2 linked regions of the Struthio camelus genome follow. The protein of the gene in region 2 purifies or fractionates together with the protein of the main gene of each other region. This does not show direct contact. Links are inferred from orthologs where the notes say so. Each region holds a gene or a part of one and is shown on either strand. Other genes may lie near its edges.

Region 1 (11,131 bases), on a different chromosome or scaffold from region 2:
TCCCAAGCAGAGCTGGGAACCCATTTCCAAAGCTATGTGCTTTCCTTCATTTTGACTGCTCTAGTGGAAAAAGAAAAAATTAAAGAGCCCTCGGAGTTTGGACGCTTGTGAAATCTACCACTCAGATTCCTAAGGATCAAAAGCTGCAAAAGAATCTGCCTAAGGCCAGATATTTGTTTGCTTCACTACTTCTGGGAGTAGAAACCTGGTGACTCATGCTTCAGAGTGCTAATATGCAGTCCCCCATTGATTCTGAATAGGGAAATGGGGAAGTATATTCTAAAGGTTTGGAGAATCGTAATTAGTTTATTATGGTTGTATTCAGTGCCCCTTAGAAACTATACAAACTCCTAGGAAGAGATGGTTGGCATTGTAGATACCTTGTGTCTGTGAAAGAAAGAAAGAGGGGAAAAAAAAAAAAAAAGAAAGACAAGGTTAAAGGTGTTAAATCACTATAAATGAATTGGTTACAGGAACCAGAGTTGTATTTTTTCTTAGTCTTCCTTCCACGTTAAACAAAAAAAAGTTGGTTGGGTGAGAAGGCACAACGGAAGGTGATATGGTAATGTGAGCATAAAAATAAACAATCAGGAGAGGGAGAAAGGTGAGGAGAGCCCCAAGGTTGAAGCTGGTACTAGAAAGACTAATGAGAGCCACTCTGAGCAATCCAGACCAGCAGAGTTTGAATATGACCGGTTCTGTCTAGATTGCTGTTGTTTGTGGCTTGGAGAATGGAAGTCTTGAAGTCTTCTGTAGGTTTAGAATTTACAGTCCTTGGATCAGAATCTGCATCTACCTTGTACTCACGATGGCTGGGGGAAGAACGGGAGAGAAGGGCAGGAAAAGATTTGCTGGAACTGCTGACTGTTGTGAAAATATCTTGTGAAAACATGTACTTTTAAAGATCTAGTGGTCTATTCCAGAAATAGCTAGGTAAACAAGACCTCGGGTGCTTTAAGGCTGGAGATTTCCTTTTCACAGATGAGCACATCAGGAGAAAGGTGGGTGGAGACAGTGTACTCTCTGATCTTGGATTAAAGGAAGAAAGGACCCTTGCTCTGAGAGTGACTTCCCCCCACCCTCCCCTTTCTTCCCCCCACTCATCATTGTGGTCTGGATGTCAGTCCTACCTTTGGCTTATGTCCATTAGTACCTTCCTCAATGGTGTCGCTATTTGTGTTCCCCATTCAGATGCGCCAGGGGCGAGGTAGGCTGGGCGAGGAAGACTCTGACGTAGATATTGAAGGGTTTGATGAGGATGATGATGGGAAACCTAAGACTCCAGCCCCAGTGAGTATATTTACAGAAATCCCATCCACAGTCCACATGTTGACTTGCATCCTTGTGGTAGAAGTCTCCATAGTATAAGGGATGTATGCTGTCTCTAGCATCCTGAATGGCAGCGTATTCACAGCAGTAGTTAAGACAATTAAATGTAGTTTTAAAATGTCAGCATTACAAAGCAAATTAACGAATACGTCAAACTGAACTGTGAGATAAAAAATAGGCGTATGCTGGAAACGGCAGTAGTTTATACAACGTCTGAACCTAATGATTCCTGTTCTGAATGACGTAGGAAGTTGAGGATGCAGATGGTGATCTTGCTGATGAAGAAGAAGGATCATCCCAGCAGCCCCAGGCCAGCGTCCTCTATGAAGATTTGCTCATGTCAGATGGAGAGGATGATGATGATGGGAGTGATGAAGAAGGAGATAATCCTTTCTCATGTAGGTTTCCCTTTTTATATAACAAGGTTGAATAGGAACTAGTTGTTCACAAACCCAGCAACTTTCTTGTCCTTCCATCACAAAAACATAACGGGATTATTGGGATTAATTAATAATTAGTCAATTAATAATTGGGATACATAGGCCAAGTGGTCTGGCAGTCACAAAGGAAAAGAGACCAAAAGGACAAGATGAAAAAACTGGATGGGCAGAGATTACCAAAAGCACACAATTTTGTTGATGGGAAACCATGTGATCAATGTTATTATCAAGAGCTGGAAGAGGAGTTTGAAGGCTCTTCAGATTGTTTCCCTCTCTTTCTAAAGACGTGTCCATGCAGAAAAGCATGCGGTGATATTTAGAGATGGCTTCAGAAAATTATTATGGGGGGGGGGGGAGTTAGAATCAAGAAAGAAAAGAGGTGGTAGAAGTACTTGAGTAGAAGAATTAGATTTTTTTTTTTTTGAATAACATCAGAAATGGCTACTCAGTAAGTGATACCAGGTACCCTTTCTGCTGCATTTTGGAAACTACTTCCTATACATTCCTTACGGTCAATATTGTGTCCTTTTAACAAATAAAGACAGTATGTATGTCACTGAGAGAACAAAACTGTTGATTTATGAACAAGTGTTGGCTTATTGCACAGCTATCCAACTGAGTGAGAGCGGCAGCGATTCAGATGTGGAGTCCAGTGCAGTGAGACCCAAACAACCTCATGTTCTTCAAGAGAATACACGAATGGGCATGGACAATGAAGAAAGTATGATGTCTTATGAAGGAGATGGTGGGGAGACATCTCATGTCATGGAGGACAGTAATATCAGGTAATTAGAGCAAAGAATGTTGTTAAAATATTTCTTTCTTCAGAACAAAGTCCCTTCTGTTAGAGATTTCTGAAGTGTTTATGACAAAGAGCTGGAGAATGTCTCATGTTCTTGTTAAGTTACTCTGTTACTGGTTTTAGTGTTGCACCTGTAATTGCAACTTACTTTTGAAGTTCTTGTTGACAGGAATTTGGTTTTGCTTTTAGACCATCGCTAATGAAAAATATTTGTTAAAATAATAAAATTAAGAATCACTTTTTCTTGCAAGTTAAATAACTTACTGTGCATAGTATTTTTTGAAGGCAAGGAAAATGAACCTTGTTTTAGATGGTCTCAGAAATTAGTAAGTGCCTTTGAAGCTAAAAGATAATATAGCTGATTAACGTCAAGCTGTTTTTCTTTGAGAGTAATAATTTCCTTCCTTGGAAGAAAATTGCTTGCTTGAAGTCCAAAAGAACAGCAAAGAATAGGAATATGTATATTGTGTATCTTGGAATGAGTTCCATTATTAGAAAATGGCAAGTACAGCAATAGTAGCTTTATTTTCTGCACTGATTTGAGAAAATACTGATCTACTTTTCCTTCTCCGGCCATTCTGTAGAGAGTTAGCATTAGATTCTCTGTTCTTTTTTTTTTTTTTTTTAATTGAAAGAACTCACTTCCATAATGTTGTTATTGGTATTTGCCTAATAAATTATTTTACAGGCCAGCTGTCATAATAGAGATAAGACCTGCCCATAAGAGTAGTTACGCTGGATTAGGCAAATGGTCCATCCAGCCCAGTACCTTGGCAATAGCCAATAGTAGATGCTAGAGAAGCGGATGAGAATGGGCTGTGCTCTCGTTGGAATTGCTGTGCTGTCTGCCTTTCCCATCTCCAGTAAAGGTGACAGATGGAAGGTGCTGGAACAAGTAGAGAACTCCGATTTTTTTTTTTTTTTGCCCTGAGTATTTCAGATTGGGTTGAGGATGTTGATAGATAACTATTTCATCGGGAGAGCTGTTTCTTAGTTAACAAAACTGGTCACTGATCAAATTGAATTGCACAATGTTTCAAAGTGTTTCACAGCACTTCCACTCAGGGACATTTTACAGGAGTAAAAATGTTACAGACAGAATATCTGATGCCAACAACTGATTTGAAATAGTAGTATAAGAAGAGTATATTCTTTCTTCCAGCTATGGCAGCTATGAAGAACCAGACCCAAAATCCAACACAAGAGATACTAGTTTCAGCAGTATTGGAGGGTATGAAATCTCAGAAGAGGAGGAAGAGGAGGAAGAGCAGCGTTGTGGGCCGAGCGTACTAAGTCAGGTCCATCTGTCTGAGGACGAGGAAGACAGTGAGGATTTTCATTCCATTGCAGGAGACAGTGACTTGGACTCAGATGAATAAACTTCTCGGGAAGCTCCCTTTCCCTGAGACGGCAGTCATCTTGGGCTACTCTTGGCTCATGAACTACTAACATCCCAGCTGGGTATAAGAAACAACATGGTGCAGTCTGTGTTAATACGAAACAGCTTTTTTTTTTTTAATAGTAGTTTTTATTGTTCTAAAACTTGTTACGTGACTGAGTAAATAGTGAAAAATAAGCTTTAGAGAAACATGCCCAGCTGAAGTACTGGGCTGGTGTGATCTTCACTAGTTCTAGAATCCAGCTGAAGACCTTTAATGGTTTGTTCTTCCTTCTTTATAGATGTAATTTCTCAAAAATAGTAGCTTGTTGGATTCATGCATTTCTGCCAGGGAGAGATGGTTGCTCAGAGTACAATGTCTGCAGTTGTTTTGATATCAAAACAATTGTAAAATAAGAACTTTCCCTTTATGAAATGACAGTTACCTGGGAACAGAGTATGAATGCATTCTCTCCTGACTACTGTCTACCTTGAATGTGTCAGTGAACAGCTGCCCTATTGGTTTTTTTTTTTTTTTTAAGCTGCGATTGGCCACAGAAAACAAAATTTGCTAGTTGGAGTCTTCAGGAATTTTCAGGCTGCTTGTATCCTGGGTGTGAGATTCCTTATGTTTAGTCAAGTGAGAAGAAAGCACAGACTTTGGTACTGTACTTACTGGTTAAATTAATTGTAAATAAAACTCAGGATGGTTTGAAGATGGGCTCCTGCTGTGCTCGTGCGTCCCCGAGGTCCCCCCCCGCTCTCGGGCTACCTCCCAGCGGCGCTTTCCGGGCGGAGTCCGGCCGCTCCCCTCCCCTCCCCTCCCCCGCCCCCGGCGGCCCCGGGCTGTCCCGGCAGGCCCCGCGCGCCGCCGGCACCCGGATGTGCCCGCGGACTCCATGTGCGGGCAGAGCGGCGCGAGGGGAGGGCGGGCGCGCAGGCGCAGTTCCTCCCCGTTTGTCGCAATGGCTTCGCGCGGAAGGATACGCGCATTGACAAAGCCGTCGCCGCCCCTCGCCCGAAGCCGCCGAAGGCGGAGCGTGGCGGAAGGAGACGCATCCAGGTCCGGCAGAGATTTCTCCGCCGCGCAGGGGCCCGCCCGGCGCCGCTCTCTCGCGCCGCCCGGACTATTTCGTGAGCGGAGATAGGTCCGGCAGCGGCCATTCGGCTGTGTGCTGCCTCCGCTGCCGCCAGCGCCATTTCGGGAGCCGCCGCCTTAGCGTGCCGGGAGCGTGGGGAGCTCGGTCCTGCTCCGCGTGCCCCAGCCTAGCGGCCCCCTGCGTGCCCGCGGCCGTTCTGCTGCCTCCGCCCGAGCCCCGCCGGCCTCCCTTCGCGATGGCGACCTCCGTGGGGAACGTAGCTGACAGCACAGGTACTGCGGCCTGCCGCGCGGGGACGGGCTCGGGGGCGCGCCGGCAGGCCGGGCCCCGCCGCCGCCGCCGCCCTGCGGGGGCCGGGCGCTGCCCTTGCCCGCGGGGCCAGCCGGAGCCCGAGCGCCGCGCTCCCCGCTCCCGGCGGAACTTTCCAGAAGCGGCGGCGGCTCCCGGCGCGGCCCCCGCCGCCGTTGTTCGCGTGTCGGTTCGGCTCGCGGCGCCGCCGGGCGGGCCCGGTCGCGGCGCGAGGCCCCGGCTCTGCCGCCAGCCGCAGGGAGCCGGCCCGTGCCGCGGCTGCCCGGCGGCTGCGTAGGAAAACGCTCCTCCAGGAGGCCGAGATGATTAGTTCTGAGGGGGGGTGGTTTCTTATGTCTATATTTATCTGGCAATTAGGTTTTTACAGAGGACGCAAAAGGATGAAAGCCTGACCTAAAACGTAAATTGATTTTTCCAGAATTTCTCTCGCTATATTTAACCAGGAGGTCGCTCCTGGAATAGCATAGCAGGGCAACTTTTTCTGGCTAGAAGGACAGCGTGCTCTTGCTGAGAAAGGTGCTCTCTTCAGTTTACAGATCTAGAACGCGGGGGCGGAGGGACAAAATCCCCCTTCCTGCCTTCAGGGCAAGGAGAAGGCCCTGCATCCCGGAAGGATGAACAGAAAACACAGCTTTTTCCGCTAGAGTTTTTTGGGGCCTTCTGTTACCAGAGAGCAACGAAGGGTCTGAAAAGGTGAAACAGGATGATGGAAAAGTAGGGAAACAAGGTTATACAGGGAAAGAGACGCGCTACTGGTAGGAGTGACGCAAAGGGAAGCGGGAGTGGTACAAAGGTGGAGATGGAGAGAGGGCAACTAGCTTCTGTACGGCATTGCTGATAACGCCTTCCACCTCAGCCAGAACCACTCACCTCCTCCCCTGATCTGCAGCATCCTCTCGGGGCCTTGAGCTGTGGAGGTGACAAGGACGTGTATGGGGAGGGGAGCGTTCCCTGTTCCTTGCCACCACCACCTCCCGTGTGGAGGTGGCAACTATTCCTGTCTGCGCCTAGATTTTATCCAAATGCAAAGCTGGGTGCGAGCGCACATGAAGTGCTTGGCTTGCTATTTCTGGAGAATTTTTGTCTTGTGTACGGTTGTGGTATTTCTGCACGGGCTTTTTGTTTTGTGTGCGTTCTCTAAAAGTATCAGGAAAGGTCATTGTTGTAGCACATGCTATGCTTTTCCAAGGTCGTAATTAAGGCACATAGTACATGCTGGCATAGGTACGCAAGTTCATGTAATACAGCAGGTGAATGTTTATAAGACTTGGTAAGGGATTCTTTTGGCTATAACTCTTTCACTGGCGTTGTTTTTTTTTTAAATGGATTCTGTGAGCAACTGTGAGTGGCAGTATTATGGATTCCTTGGATAACGTGATTCTCTTCTGTAGTAGCCCTAGTAAACGTTGAGCTCGTTTTGAAGCCTGCGGTAGTTGTCCACTTGCACTTTCCTACCTGCTTGTGAAGAGGATTGCTGCTAAAATGTGTCTTGGGAGAGATGGCTGACTGTCTTACTGCAAGTGACTAGTTTGCTTTATCTCAGTTGGTAGGGTTTGTTTTGTAAGGGGACTTCATAGATGAAAGAAATCTTAGTGTTTCACTCGTTTTGTTGTTCTCATTAACAATTTTTATTCATGGGTTTTATATGAAATTTTCTATTTTTAAAATGAATTTTATGAAATTTTCTTTTTTTTTTTTTTCATTTTCTCTCTGTTGCCCCTACAACTGTAACTTCAGTTTCAGTTTTCTGTTTTGCTTAAATAGGCAAAGCATAGTATGTAGGTAAGTTAGAAGGTTCCTTCCAAGTGGTGATAAGAATTTAAGTCTAAGTTTTTGTGGGGTTTTTTGTTTATTTGTTTTGTGTTAGCATTCGAATTTAATAATACCCTTGGAGTTTATTTGAAGAAATGATTGAATTAGGTCCACGGAGCATGCACTAGTTTCCCCCTTTTTGCACTGTCAGCAGAACTTGAAAATACAGCAGCTGTCAGATGAGCTAAACCTGTGTGACTGTTAACAACAGAAGGTAGGCAAGGAACAGCATGTTTGTACTTCAGTATTCTTACTTGTCAGCCACTTCAAATTTTGGTAAATGATGCTGTCATTTTCACGTTAAATAACGCTTGTACATGTTTACTGTCAGTAGGTTTAACCAGATGCAGAAGTCCACGTTTTCCATAGGCTGGGTTTGGAAAGGTCTTAAGCTAGGCTCCTTGAAAAAAGGACTTAATCTGTGTGAAGATACTTGATTAGTATTTTGTGACGTCTTTGGAAGTGAGTAGTCGTGCTAGTTTCAGTGAAGCCAGAACCGGTTAAAGTTTTCAACACCGACAGAGACAATGCATCTGGAATAACAGCTTTAGTTACCTCCTGTAGTGTTTGCGGTCTTCAAAACCCAGCAGTGCTAAAAAGCTCTCTTTAAAAGAACTTAAATGGCTTCCATCAATCTCAAGTCCGTTAAACACTAGATAATAACTCTGTGCCTAATCTCCTCGTGATTATTTTTCTATTGCATTAGCAAATTTCCTTGTATTAGGAAGGATTTACCTGTGCTTCGTTGTATCAAAAATGTAAAACTCTATGTCTTGGTGGGAAATGTTTAATAAGCGAGTTTAAAAGTGACTGCAGGACTGAAGAAGGGCAAATAAGAGACATTTGCAGTAGTTGAAACATATTTTTATACTTTTAATAAGTAATTTTATATCGTAAGTATAAAATAAAAAGACAATTTGAGGGCAGATCCTTCTTTTTAGGATGAACGTTTTTTTTTTTCCCCCAAGATGCGCTTACCATATCTATCTTCTAGGATAGAACTGTACTTTGTAAGACAACTTACTTTTCACAAAAAAGGTTGTTAATCTAAAACAGGTGATATTTTACTCAAGTTTTTTGTTCTCTGTGAATATGTTGTTAACAGTAAAAGCACTTTGTCACTCCAGTTCCAGCTCGACACCCAGAATTAGCGAATCCTTTTCTGTATCCTGTGCTTTGTAAAGACTGCTTCTGTGGGCCAACAGCATAAAAATCACAGCTATCGTTCTGAGACCAAAATTGATTTTGATGGGAGAATTTTTACTCATTATAGATAATACAGCCTGATAACAGAGGTTGGAAGAAATGTTGTGTGTTACACTTGTATTTATTTATTTATTCATTCATTTTTGTTACGGGCTTTCACGTGCTACAAATCTACTGCTACAGCAAAACTTTTTTTTTTTTTTGAGTCCTTTGAAGTTTTTGTCTGCTGTCCTCTTCATTTCTCAATTAATGGTTTTTAGAACTTGTCTTTAATACTATGAAGTATAAGACTTACAGTTGGGGAAAAGTCAACAGATTCATTGTTTTGTTACTAGCACTTTTAGTGTTATGAACCAAAGTACAATATTATTTTGGGAATGTTGTCAGATATTTTTCAGGTTATTGGAAAATGATTGACTTGTAATGACTCTCTGTGTTTATACGCTTATTATTAACTGATGAGGTTATGGACTATTATACCCATCATGTTAGAAGTGTCATAACTATAGATTGAGGTATGAAGATCTGAGAGTTTTAAATGTCACATGCCGTAGTACTTTATGTAATTTCAAGCATTTTCATCCTTTAGTTTTGCACATCTTTTTTTTTTTGCTTAAACATTTTTTTGTTTTGTTTCCATTATCTAACTTTTTGTTTTCCCCCCTTAAATGTTTTGGTGATTCTCCAGAACCAACGAAACGTATGCTTTCCTTCCAAGGGTTAGCGGAGTTGGCTCATCGTGAATATCAGGCAGGAGACTTTGAAGCAGCAGAGAGACACTGCATGCAACTTTGGAGACAAGAGCCTGATAATACTGGTGTGCTTTTATTACTGTCGTCCATTCACTTCCAGTGTCGCAGACTGGACAGGTAGGAGACCTGAGGTGTCCTGTCAAGCTTTACTTGTAGTTTGCACCTCTCGTAACATTGAGCACAGCTGACAAAAGTTCTGTTACAACTGCGGTTTTATCGTTGAACACAAATACTGACTAACCTCTTGGCAGCAGTAAGAATTGGTCCGAAAATGTTCTTTCTTTCTGAATTTTGCTAGGGCAAAAGAAATCCGAATTGGAATTGCTAGCCTTGCAACAAACAACAGATGTTGTTACTCATGTTTTACTTTGATATCAGAATATCAGCCATGCTTGTATGTACCAGAGGCGTCTGCACTTGCAAAAAATAATGATCGTTCATTCCACCTGAAGTGTGGGGTTTTGCGGGGAATTTTTTTTTAGTTGCAAGACTGTGACAAGATGATTGTTTGCTGTGAAGTGGCGTGATTAGTTGAATGTTTTGTTCTCTGAGAGTTGTCTCCCTGTTCTCTTTCTATCTGCTCCTGAGCTTGCTTTTTGTTCCTCAAGCATTTCAAACGGTATTATCTGTTTCAGCTGTGACTCTGTGTGTGCTGGCAATGGAAGTAACTTGTGAGTGGGATTTAATTTACGTAGGCTTGTAAACAAAGCCGTAATAATTCAGATACGGGGAAAAGTGAGTGGGAGACAGAATTTTACACCTACGTATCTTTGCTATATCCTATTTCTTGAGAAGAGTATCCAGTAAAATATTGCTTAGAGAAAAGCTGTCAGATGTTGGCAGAGGCTTAACAGACATTCTACAGTAACCTTTTTTTAAACTGCGTTTAGCTCAGGTTTAGCCAGAGGCTTGCAGGACTCTACTAGTTGCAAACTAGAGTTGTTCTTTGTTCAGTAGAATCTAAAATGGAAGGGAGAGGGTAATTTAAGCTAAGAGAAGCTACGCTTTTAAGACTGCTCTCCGTAACTTCACGTTTGTTGACTATATGTTTGGCTCACTTGAGCATGAGTGTTCATTAAGTAAGCGGACAGGCAAAGTCAGTGGTTTTTTTTAACTTGTCTTATTTTCTTCAGGTCTGCTCACTTCAGCACTTTGGCTATCAAACAGAATCCATTGTTGGCTGAAGCCTACTCGAACCTAGGCAATGTATACAAGGAACGTGGACAACTACAAGAAGCTATTGAACATTATAGACATGCACTACGCCTCAAACCAGATTTCATTGATGGATATATTAATCTGGCTGCTGCATTGGTAGCTGCAGGTGATATGGAAGGAGCAGTACAGGCATATGTGTCTGCCCTTCAGTACAATCCTGTAAGTAACACTTTATGTTATGGAAGAGCTCCATACTTCACTGCTGCCTCAGGACAGACAGACAAATACCAGATTTCCATGGATGTAGGAAGAATTAAGACTATTTAAACAGCAAACATTAGTTAAAAAGAGCAACCAACAGCCCTCCCCTGCTCCGTCCAACGTGCCCACCATAAACTTCATCTACTTAATAGTTTTCTGAAAAATGCATGGAATACACTTATCACAAATCTTTACGTTGAGCTACTTGTAAGGGCTGCTGTTTGTTATCTGTAATATTGAGAATAGCAGAAAAGGAAGGGCTTTTTGAGTTTTTAAGGTCAGAAATATCAGTGAATAATCTGTAATCTGGCTTGGTGTGTTGTAAAGCTGTGTTGTTGCAGTGAGAGAAGCGCTGAGACACAGTTACATGCTAAATCTTAATAAACCATCAGGTACTATTTTGTGAAATCACGAATTTCATGACGATTACAATTGCGTTGGCTAGCTTTCCACCATGGACAGGTTTACAGAAACATTGATTTGTTTTGTAGGCTGAAACCGTATATCTGGCAAAGTATAGTAAGTTATATAGAACTAATTGGTCTGCTCTTTGGAGTTTAGGGTTGTAATTGTTTTGAATTTAC
Region 2 (11,131 bases):
CATATTTACACTGCCTGTATTAAGTGAACAATTACACTCTGAAGAAAGTAGTCTTTTCTTACAGTGAAGAATTAAGAATAGGGAAAGGAAAAACAGATATCCCAGAGGAAGAGCACGAACTTCTAAATAAACAAGTTAGCTTTATGGGATTTAACTTGACACATGCTGTGAAGTCTGGTTTCTAGCTACCTATTGTGACAACTATTGTCACTTGTCAAAGCCGGGAGAACACCAAGATAATTTAACACATGAAAAGAGACCTGCTATTACTTTTAGTAAAGATAGTCTATGCATGTAGATCTTCAGCTACCTGCTAAAGTAACAGGACTTATGATGGGATAGGACTGATGAAAGAAAGATGCACAGTAATGATGAAAATAGAAAGATGTATGAAGGTTTCCATTAAAACCTATCTGAATTCTACTTGGAGCTGTGAAACCACTACTCATAGCCACACCACTAAAAACCTACTTGGTAATAATCCCAAGTAACAAGTGGGTGTTCTAACAGCTCCGATATCGATGCAGCAATACAGGCTGGCACGATACCTCTCTAAACGACAGTAACTCCTACACATTATACCTCTGTCTGCATCACAAAGTTGTTCACTGTTCAAACCATCGCAGCTGTTTCCTGATTTCAGGACAAATAAGAAGCAGAAACAAATTAACGTTTTGAGTTGTTACGTCCCAGAAGAAATTAGTTTACTTCCTGTAGCTAGGTAGAGGTTCATAAAACCGGGGTGAGGGAGCAAATATGATTAGAAACAGTCCACACATCTGGATTCTCCAGTATGCATGAGCCAAAGACGATCTGTTGCGCCACTGGTGTCAAACTCATTTTTTTTTAAAATCACACTGCCCTGAGGCATTTATACCATCACAGTTGCCCACTTTTTTGATCTGCAAGACATTTTCTATTTCTCTTCTATGCAGTCACAGAAACAGATGGAAGTTCACGTGAACTTAACTGAGGAAAACAGTCTTCCATTCTGTAGCATCCTAGGTTCCATACCAGGTTCTTTTCTGGGCAAAATACATACTGAAACGTATATTTCCTTTATACAAGTGTCAAGAGCCACAGTAGCATGAGCCACACTACCACAGTGCTCTAGAATCTGATCAGAAGCCAGCATACTAATACAAAATAAAGGTGTTTTCTTGACTCTCCTAAAAGGTAACATCTGCTCTAGAAATGAAGTATGAGAGGGGACGGAACTTAAAACTGTTACTGAACTAGAATCACAATAGCAGAAACTACTGGGAGCTACTGATAAGAGAAATACACAAGTGGTACAATACAACGCAGGAGTCTGATCTGCGACAGGCATTTATTTTACAATAAATGGATGAAGGGGTTTCTGCATATGATAATAACCGGAATCTTTTCTTGGATTTTTTTTTTTTTTTTAAATCAAGGATAATCAGGCAGTATATACTGTCTTCCCAAATCACTACGCTCGAAAGAAAAAAAAAAAAAAGAAAAGAAAAAAAATGGAAGAGAAGTGGGCTGGAAGTGAGAGGCAGACTTGCACGAGGCAACCCAAGCCTTTATATGCAGCCTCCTCCATGTTCCACGCACGCTATGTTTTAAACAAGATGATCAATACTAACCTCATTTCCTTCAGTCCTTCAGCCTCTATGACCTGCAGAATCTGTTTTGGGGTCATAGGAGCATCAGAGTAGTTTTCCAGCACCTGAAGAAACAGAAACACAAGGCGTCAGTATAGAATTTGCTTCTAAATTAATAGAACTACTCCATAAGCTGGGATTCAAATACAATACTATGCCTCTTAAAACTTTATTCATCTACAAATGACATGCTAAAAAAATCCAGGCTACCTCAAGATTAGATCACGTTGTTACAAAGGGCTCACATTCATCTCATCCCTAACTAACTGAAATACAAACATGAAGAAGAAAGAAGTAGAATTTGGCCCTGCCCCTATAACATGAAGTCTGTGGTAAAGCTTCCAGACTTTCAATATGCATTAGACTGAGTTGGTACCACATAAGACCTTCAAACCTATGCAGCGGTTCTCCTTACCGTACATACCTTCTTACATCTCTATACAGCATCTAGTATCTTGCTGGTGATAAAAGTGTTACTGTATAACTACACAATTCAACAGTGCATCTTCCTTGAAATACTGCATTCATTTCATCTTCGTTCCATCTCAAGAGGAGTACCACATGTAAAATTCAGAATTCTTGTCAGAGGAGGACATAATTCAGAAAAGAACAAGAAGAACAATAGAGGATGTGGAAAAAATATGGACAGAGACACTACAAAGATTTGGACTGATTGCTTTAGAAAGCAAATGAGTAACAGGAGATATTAAAAAGGCAATAAAGTTTGGAACAGCTCAACCTTTCATATAATATACGAAGAACAGAATCATCACTTATGTATGGAAAAATTAAAGGGGTCATTTTAAAAATATTTTTTTCTTAAGTGAAACTTACTGCTTCTAAACATTTAGAAGCAAAAATGCACCAGGATTCAAAAAGAGGGCTAGACATTTCTATGGATAAGAAGATCATCGAGATAAACAGGAAACAATGAACAAAAATAAGTTGCAGTAGACATAAATCACTGTTTCTTTGGAAGCAGATTACCCTATAGCTGCCTAATATGCACTGCTTCTTGTGCCTTCCATTGGAGCAGCCAGTGTCGCTTTCCGAATGCAGAAAGATACTGAATTCAATAAACCTCTAGGTCTGATGTAGCATAAAGATTTCAACATAGGCATATGACATGGCCTGAAACACTCAAGAAAAGCAGCAACAGATATTCAATCTGGAACTTTTTGATCATAATCATAGACTAAATTCCCCTAACGTCATGGCTACAATGATGCACAATCCTGAATTCATTTGTCACCATGCTTTAAAGGAGTCAGCAACACGATACTGTCTTTCAGTTTGACTTGTGTGAGAAGCCAGTGGAGGAACCCAAATGCCCCTTTATATCAGCAGCATCTAGAACTGAGTCACTGCAGCAACATGTCAAGGCACAAAGCCTGCAGTTTGCCTTGGAGAGTTGCATTAGCAAGACGTTTGCAAAAAAAGTTGTGCTGGGCACCATTTGTATTCCCACACTGTCTCCCAGCCCCCAACAAGTAGATAGTAACGTAGGGGTTGGGTTTTTGAGTTCTACAGTTCAACTACATTTCAGAGTAAAAGGAATTTCTTAAATCATATCCATCCTAGAATTATTTTTCAGATTCCTGAAGATCATAAGAATCAGTAGTGCTAACCTGGCAGGGGACAGAAACTTGAGAACTCTGTAACCTGAGATAAAACACAATGAAAACACAAGGAGTTTAAAGAAAAGATCAAAGAAAACGATGAACCGTGCTGAAACAGAGTAAACAATTTTAATTCTGAGTCAATACAGCTCCATCACATTTTTTCCTATGCTAATCAAAAAACTCCACAGGTTACAATTTTCTATGCCTCTTCACAAACTGTCATCCCCCATCACTCAAATGGAATAAACATCTGACAAGGGGAAAGACATCACTTGAGAATCAAATGCAAGAGCCATGAAATGGAACAGGCCTCTTTTGAGAAATAAGGAAATTCTTCACAGCTTATAAAACCTCTCTCAAGTGTCAGACACAGCAGCAAGCAAAATACACAGCCCAAAACTTAGTATTTGCATAAAGATAGAAGAATCTATGCTCAGGGGAACAAATTCCCATCAACAGCTATATCAAATCTACCGGCTACTTTAAGGAAGAACCAGGAGAGAGAAGAACATACGACATCAGCCACCAAAAGCCCTGTCTCCAGTAGTTATCCCCCATCCGTTTCCATCCTCAGACTACCAATGTTACATTAACCTTTCAACAGAAGCTACCGCTTAAACAATACCAGCTATTCCTTTCCCACAAAAAGATATTTTTCCCCCCTTGATTATTTATAGTACTGGTAGTCAAGGGTTCCTACGACCATAGTTACAGAAGTTTACATCACTCCCCCAATTAATTTCCTAGTAGCATAGATGCCTAGCCCTGACAGCACTTGTTGAAGAGTCCTATGGCTCTGTGCGTTCAAATGAATCTTTACAGATTTTATGGAATGTGCATAATATTAGCTCTGTAGGAACAGCAACACTGAAAAGCACTTTTGCCTACAATTCTTGGAAACATCTAGAGGAATACAAAATATAATAGCGAGTGTCAGAAAGGAAAATTAAAAGCATTTTGACAGGGAGCGCGTGTAAGCCTAGTGTTAAATAAAGATCTATTTTTAGTGGATTTACAATCAGTCCTGCAAGCTGGAAGTGCAGTACGCAACTGTAGGTCTCTCTAAGTGGATAATCTGGTATGAGATCGTTCTATTTCTGGTTCATCAGTTGCTCAAAGATGCAGTTGAGGCTCAAACGTCTCATGTACCTGGGGTGCCTGTGGCTGAGGTTCTAGCCAAGAGACAGCTGTAGTTGTGAAGAGATTCATTTCCCATCACTGAACGACGGTGAGGGACTTTATCATGAGATGGCTTCTTAGAAGTTGCAGTTTTGCGTAGCGTTTTCGGCAGCCTATAAACACTGATTTATAACCTATTAGAGTTCAGCACATTTGAATGAGAGAGGATTTTGTGCAAGAACATCCAGCACCAGCTCCAGCCCCAAGATCACCTACTGGCAAAGCATCCCAAATACCTGTAGTGAAGTGCTTGACTCACAGAACTAGGACCTTGAAAAGAAATACAAGATGAAGTACTACACCAGCAGATTTATGCAGTAAAATACTACAGTGGCTAGTTTATGCCTCTTTACAGTTTTTCAGGCTAAGTCATAAAGGCCTAAAATATTAGGATTTCCACACAAAAGATTACACTAGTTGCTGGAAGGTAGATACTTAAGCATGATTAGGTTTCCTCTTGGCAAGCATTAAGGAAATTCTGTGATATCCAGAAAACCCTACACACAAGGGGCATCAAGACCAAATCCTAGAACACCCTTAATACCAGACACTAGTCACAGCTCGGCTCATCCATACGATTCCTTTTGAATGTCTACATGCTCCGGTATGCACCCCGCCAAGTTAAAACAAAAGAAACAAAAAACAACAACAAAGAAAACACAAGCAAACAAAATACTCCCAAGCTCTATAAATCTGTTTCTACAGACGTCCACGTACTCCATAGCAAGTACTCCCACATCCTCCCAAACCAACCTGTAAGTACCCCTGACAGATCCAACAGAAGGAAACCACAGCAACCCGTCTGAACCTGCACAGGGGCAGCAGGATCATCACTTACTCCATATACTGGCATTTATACGTCTATACAGATCTATTTCACTGTGTCACGAAAGAGAGCAGTTCCTACACAGAGGCCAAAAAGAGCAAGCTTCTTCCAATCAGCATTAAAAGTAGACAATAGCAACTAGCAGCACTATGCGGTGTGCAAAGAGCTGACCATGCCGTTTGCAACGTGACTGCTCTCCGTGTCAGCTCAGTGGGAGAACACGGTCACGGAGCCTCAGTTGCAGATCAGAACGATACCTCGGCTGCTCAAGAACAGGCGAACAGTTCAGTACCCAACTCAAGCAACGAGCCTAAACACCTCAAAATTTATTCCTTAAATAAAATTAAGTAACTTGCTGATTAGTTCATGTTCACTGTTTGATAGACACTAAAGTTCTTTTACTTTTTATACTTCCTAGCTTATAAATTGGGTTCAAGACTAGGGTATGATTTCAACTCTTTATAAAGAGAAAAGACTGTTCTCCTATTGCAATGGTCAAACACCACCGATGTTCCAACAGACTTCTCAAATGCAATCAGGCAAACATCAATATTTAAGTTTAAACCTTCAATAAACAGATTCTCAAGGGGGAAAAAAAAAAAAAGATACATAAGCACTGGTACATCTCCTAAAAATCAGCAACCAAAAAAAATTTCGGATCACAAGGACACTAACCTCAAACAAAGAGTTATTATTATATGCAATATGAATATACATCAGCTACGCTGCCTATGCTTTGGGCACCATTGGCATATGGAAGAAACCTACAGTCTCAATAATCAAAGCAGAAACTTTTGACAGCAGCATTTCTCAGACTTCAAGCCAGGCCTCTCAGGAGGCTCCAGTTCCTCCCACTGAGTTTAAGTCATCTGAAAAGAAGAAAACAAACCATTCTCAAGCTAAGAACGGTTGTCAGACTGTCTGCTGTTGCTGAGCTGCAACTAAAAATGAAAAACACAAACAGTTAAAAGCTACCCTTGCTAAACAGCGGTATTTTCACTGGCCCCTTTCCAAAACCTATCAGAGTCTCGCACACCTTTACCTGTGGCCTTGAGGGAAGCTCCTGCAGCGCAGGCATTGAGAAACCACTCCAAACTACACACTCCTGGCAACCTCTTTTCAAGAAGATTTTTATCTCAGAGGGGAAAGGGCACGTGCTCGCACTTTCTCCTAAAAGCGCGTCCTCCGTGCCCGCCTTTCCGGGGAACCTCTGCACGGGAGCCCTGCGCCCCTTTGTGAGCGAAACCACGCCAAATGGTTTTCTCCCCTTCCCGCCTGCCTCGGGAGGCGGCACAACCGGGGAGCAGGCAGGCTGCGGCAACGGCGGAAGGGGCCCCGGGCCCCCGGACCGGCGCCGTCCCGCTGCCCGGCGGCGAGGAGCGGGCGCCCCCCCGCCCCCCTCCCCGCCCCGCCCCGCCGCAGGGGGGAGCCCGGGGCCCGGCGGCACCGGAGCGGGGAGGGGGGGAGGGAAGGGGAGGGGAGGCCCCTCAGGGCCAGAGCAGGGCCGCGGCGCCCCCTCCCCGGGGCCTGCGCGAGGCCCGGCGCCCCCCGCGGAGCCGCTCCGGGGCGGCGGCGGCGGCGGCCGTGCCCCCCCCCTCCCCTCACCAGGCGGGCGGCCTCAGCCCACGTGCGCTCCTTCTTCCTCCGCTGCTTCATCTCCTTCATCTTCCTCCCGCGCGGGGCGGCGGGACGGCGGGCGCGGACCGTTAGGCGGCGGCGGCGGGGAGGGGCGGGGCGGCGGCGGCGCGCGGGAGGGGCGGGGCGCGGCGGGGCGCGGCGGGCGGGGCGGGGCGGCGCGCGGCGGGGCGGCTCCGGGCGCTAAGGAATGCGGCGGCGGCGGCGGCGGCGGCTCGGGCCCGACATAACAACGGGGTCAAAGGGCTCGGCGCGGGGGGGAGGGGGCGGGGCTTCGCGACGGTGGCCGCGGCGGGACACGGCCGGGCTCGCGCGCCGCCAGCGAAGGGGCGGGGACGGGAGCGCGAGCCGCGCGGCGGGCCGGGGCCGCGTTTGAAGGAAAACAAACCGCAAGGGCCGCTGGGAGTTGTAGTCCCGCCCGCCGCCCGCCGCCGGGGCCGGGGCCGCGCCGCCGGACTACAGCTCCCAGCGGGCGCTGCCCGCCCGCCGCGCGGCACGCTGGGCCGCGCCCTCTGCCTGCGCGCTCGCCTCAGGCCGCGGGCCCGGGCGCTCCCCGCGCCGAGCGGGAGCGGGCAGCAGAACCCAGCCGGGCCCAGCCCGGCGGCCTGCGCGGCTCCGAGCCCCGCCGTGCCCGGTGGCTGCTCTGGCTGCCGTTTCCTGAGGCCCCCGGGGGGCTGCGGTGCCCCCGGTGCGGGTCGCCGGTGCTCAGCCTCGGTAGAGGTGAGAGCGCTGGCTGTTGGCGGCCTCCGCGCCGCCTGCCTCACCGCGGTGCTCCTCGCTTCGCTCGCGCTTACAGTCTAATCATAACTGAGCCTGCTCGGAGTTTCGGTTTTTTATTTTTTGAAGAAAAGCGCATAGCGCTTTGTAAAACATGCAGCGAAGGAACCCAGCGATTACTTATAAATTAAGAATGGAAAAAGGGCATGTTTTGGTAGATGCAATAAATCTTTATTACACGTTGTTTTTTAGGATCACTTTTACATTCCTAGACAAAAGAGATGATACAAATAAATATAAGCTGTAAAACCTATGGACAGAACTATTGACAGGTTCTTTGTCTACAGATCACCTAAAAGAAGGTCAAGATCAGTGTATCTCCAAGGGGCTGCGAATTCCCATAAAGACAGCTACACCCAGGAGGAGACCCTCGGGCACTTCATTTCAAACGGAAAGAGGGAACTGAAGAAGGTAATAAGCACCTAGACCACAGAGCATTAAACCCACCATCGTACAGCGCAGCGCAAACAGGACGAGTGTTCTCACTCAGTTCCATCTCAGTGTCTAATTACGGCTTTTGCAGGTTATGGTCTTCCGATTTGTGTATTAACACAGCAGAAACAGACCCACAAGAGTCACACTGCTCTTTTTAAGCCCTGGTGCATGGTAAACATTATAGATGAGAAGAGAGGATAGATCCAGTTTAGAGGTGTCTCTCTGAAAGTTGGCAAACACTCTGTTTTCAGTGGAGGCAGACTTACTACATCAAAAGAAAAAAAAAAAAAAACCAAAAAATACTCTTGAACAGAAGCCTGATCTGTATAATGCATCGATGTAGTCCAAAATGCCAGGCTAGATGTGTGTATTTTTGAAGATTCAAGCAGCATGCATATATTTTTTAAAAAGCCATCAGACCTATATTAAGAATTTTAAGAAAGTGCTTTAATTCTTACGCTTCGTTTTCACATGGTGCTTGCTCCCAGAGCCAAAGACCTACTTTTACTGCATGTAACTTTTAAAAAAAGTTAGATCCCATTATACAGATCAGAGCAAAAATGAGAAGGATATTAAACATTCCTGTGAAGAGACTATGATTGCACACACTGTCCAAGGGCCTCTTCCAGGAGTCTGCTGGATTTCCTGTCTTTGGCTGTTAACCTGCAGGAAGCCCAGATGGTTCAGATAACACCCAGAGAGACGCAAACTTGGCAGGATCATTTTTTAGAAACTTCAAGCCAGAACTCAGTGCGTTTTGTTGGGCTATGACAATATATTTTATCTTAATATCATTGCCACTGAGTATCTATTCACGGGTAAGTCAATCAACATGAGAATCTAAGCTTCTGTAACAATCTGAGATTGCCCATGAATACACTAACCACCTCTCTATCCACAGCTCCGATTTAAATACAGTGACTAAACATCCAATTTTATTATTTTTCCATCCTATTGAATTTCTTTCACCTTGCTAATGAATTTCTACAAAATTAAAAGCAGAGCCTTTCTGACATATTAACCAGCTAGCTTATTAACACTAAAACAAGAACAGTTTAGGTTTGCACTGTGATTTCCACTGTACCAATCCTGCCACAAGGGGAGTTTTCAGCTTTTAATATCAAATTCCCTATGGAAAAGCAGTGACTGAAGTAGTGCACACATGTGCAAACACCATTGTGTCTGTGCATGCATATTCATATAGAAACATATGTGTACATATCTAGGTACACATATGTGTATATGTATTATGTTGCCCCTTGTTTCGTTTCCATTTTCTGAGCACTTAAGCCGTACAATTATCTTTTAAAACGCTGAAGTACAGAAGATTATGTGCTAGAGGGAAAGAAGATGACACTACGTTATGCAACAAGAGCCAATTAAAAGACTCTTCGTACACAAACAGTGGACTATAGAAAGAAAGATTAGGCCAGGTTTCCATTCCAGGTTGAAAGAAATTTGTCCGATGGCTACTCTTTCAACTATAGGCAAACTCCTCTTTCCTCCACCAAAACTAAAAAATATATATTAATCTCGTGATCCAGAAAAGTACTCCATGAATCAAAGCAGCTGAGTCAGAATTTAACCCGGGCCCACCTGGGCAGCTGGCTCACCGAGGCATCATGCCCGCAAGATGCAGAGGTGAGCTCTGTGCTGAGTGTTCAGTTCTTTCTGCTCATGGGAGTCAGATACAATGGAGTTCTCCAGCCTGGACGAAGTCACTCAGTGGATACTTAACGAGCACACAAGGTAGAGTCCATACATCAGAGCATTTCTAAAACCAGGCAAGTCCTCATACACTCACACATGTCAGTCTGGAGGAAGTCATCAGTGAGGGAGAGGAAACAGGTAAAAACATTCATAGGATGACAGCCAACAGCAACCAGAAAAAGTAACATCCCAAGTCTCAATATACAATGAACTAAAACTTACAACTGAGCTGTGAGACACTAGACAGGAACACCTTACTCTGTCTTCAACAGGGCAGTTCCACTTCCCTCTACCCTGCCACACAAGCCTGCAGCATTACAGCAGCCTGCTTATTCATAGGGAAGCTTTAGGAGGAGGCCATCGAAAGCAGGAGTTCTTCCTCCCTTGTTTCAAAGTACAACCCCTGGAATTAATACCAGATTCCATTACTCAGACTCAGTTACACAGGGCCTTCACTCCTACCAGGCCCCGAGTGGTCCGGGAGGTGGAAAGGGAGAAGTTCTAACGTGGAACAGGCGAGGCACAGAAGGTACCAAATACTGAACCTCCTTAGACCCCAAGCAGAGGGACCATACTCACAAGAACAGTGCACTTAAAGATAGCTTCGCTTTATGGTGCTATGCTCTTTACCCAGCCTAAAGGGGAAGAGTAGAGTCAGCCCTATGAGCCTGCTAGGAAGAAAGCTCCAAGCCAATGCTACATTTCATATGAACAGTGGGAGATGTGAGAAAATGGCCATACATCACCCCACAGTTCAAAGACTCAGCATGGGTACTGGTTTCAAATGCCAGGGGTAAAGATGGAGGCAAGAGAGAGGAAGATAGCTGTGGAGCTGGCACTGGTATGCAGATGTATTCGTTGACAAGGTGGTTCCTATTGACGGGGTAAGGTCTGTAGGAGGTCAGTTTAGAGGAGCTCTTAACTTATGCCTGTAAACAAGTAAAGGATTTCAGTTTCTATTGCTTCCTTTCCAGAGAGCACAAAGATGCTTCCGAGACCCTTCTTTGTTCTAGGTTTCTGAAAGGGAGGCACAGCTAGCTGTGAGCACGTGATGACAGCTGCCATCCTGACTGCTCAGACCAATGTATTAACCCCAAATGATGATGCCAGTCTTTTAAGCAGGAAGAGGAAAAAACTAAGCACCTACTCAAGTTTGGATACACCTTCTGCTTTTTAACCTCATTTCGTTCTCACTATGAAGTTCTGTAGCGGTGGTTCTGTTGAGATGACTTTCAACTCTGTCTTCTTATTGCCCAACAGCAAAAAAAAAAAAAAAAAAAAAAAAAAAGCCCAGCGCAGCAAAAGGGCTAGTGCAG

The links.
Region 1: the proteins of ASXL1 (region 2) and OGT purify together in Homo sapiens (affinity purification with mass spectrometry; 3 studies listed by BioGRID and IntAct, with this or other methods). This does not show direct contact. The link is inferred for Struthio camelus from reciprocal best matches to the Homo sapiens genes ASXL1 and OGT.

What each region holds. Positions count from the first base shown.
Region 1 is NC_090952.1:25,818,562-25,829,692, forward strand, and holds the start of OGT (UDP-N-acetylglucosamine--peptide N-acetylglucosaminyltransferase 110 kDa subunit), read left to right. Parts: upstream 1-4,994; 5' UTR 4,995-5,284; coding exon 5,285-5,321; intron 5,322-9,064; coding exon 9,065-9,245; intron 9,246-10,261; coding exon 10,262-10,505; intron 10,506-11,131. Other genes in the region: TAF1 (transcription initiation factor TFIID subunit 1), read left to right, coding at 1,192-1,290, 1,577-1,727, 2,377-2,554, 3,734-3,950. UniProt on the Homo sapiens protein: Catalyzes the transfer of a single N-acetylglucosamine from UDP-GlcNAc to a serine or threonine residue in cytoplasmic and nuclear proteins resulting in their modification with a beta-linked N-acetylglucosamine (O-GlcNAc).
Region 2 is NC_090959.1:18,696,939-18,708,069, reverse strand, and holds the start of ASXL1 (polycomb group protein ASXL1), read right to left. Parts: upstream 7,005-11,131; 5' UTR 6,924-7,004; coding exon 6,864-6,923; intron 6,578-6,863; exon of another isoform or gene 6,337-6,577; coding exon of another isoform or gene 6,301-6,336; intron 6,197-6,300; exon of another isoform or gene 6,066-6,196; coding exon of another isoform or gene 6,027-6,065; intron 5,161-6,026; exon of another isoform or gene 4,463-5,160; coding exon of another isoform or gene 4,403-4,462; intron 1,697-4,402; coding exon 1,614-1,696; intron 1-1,613.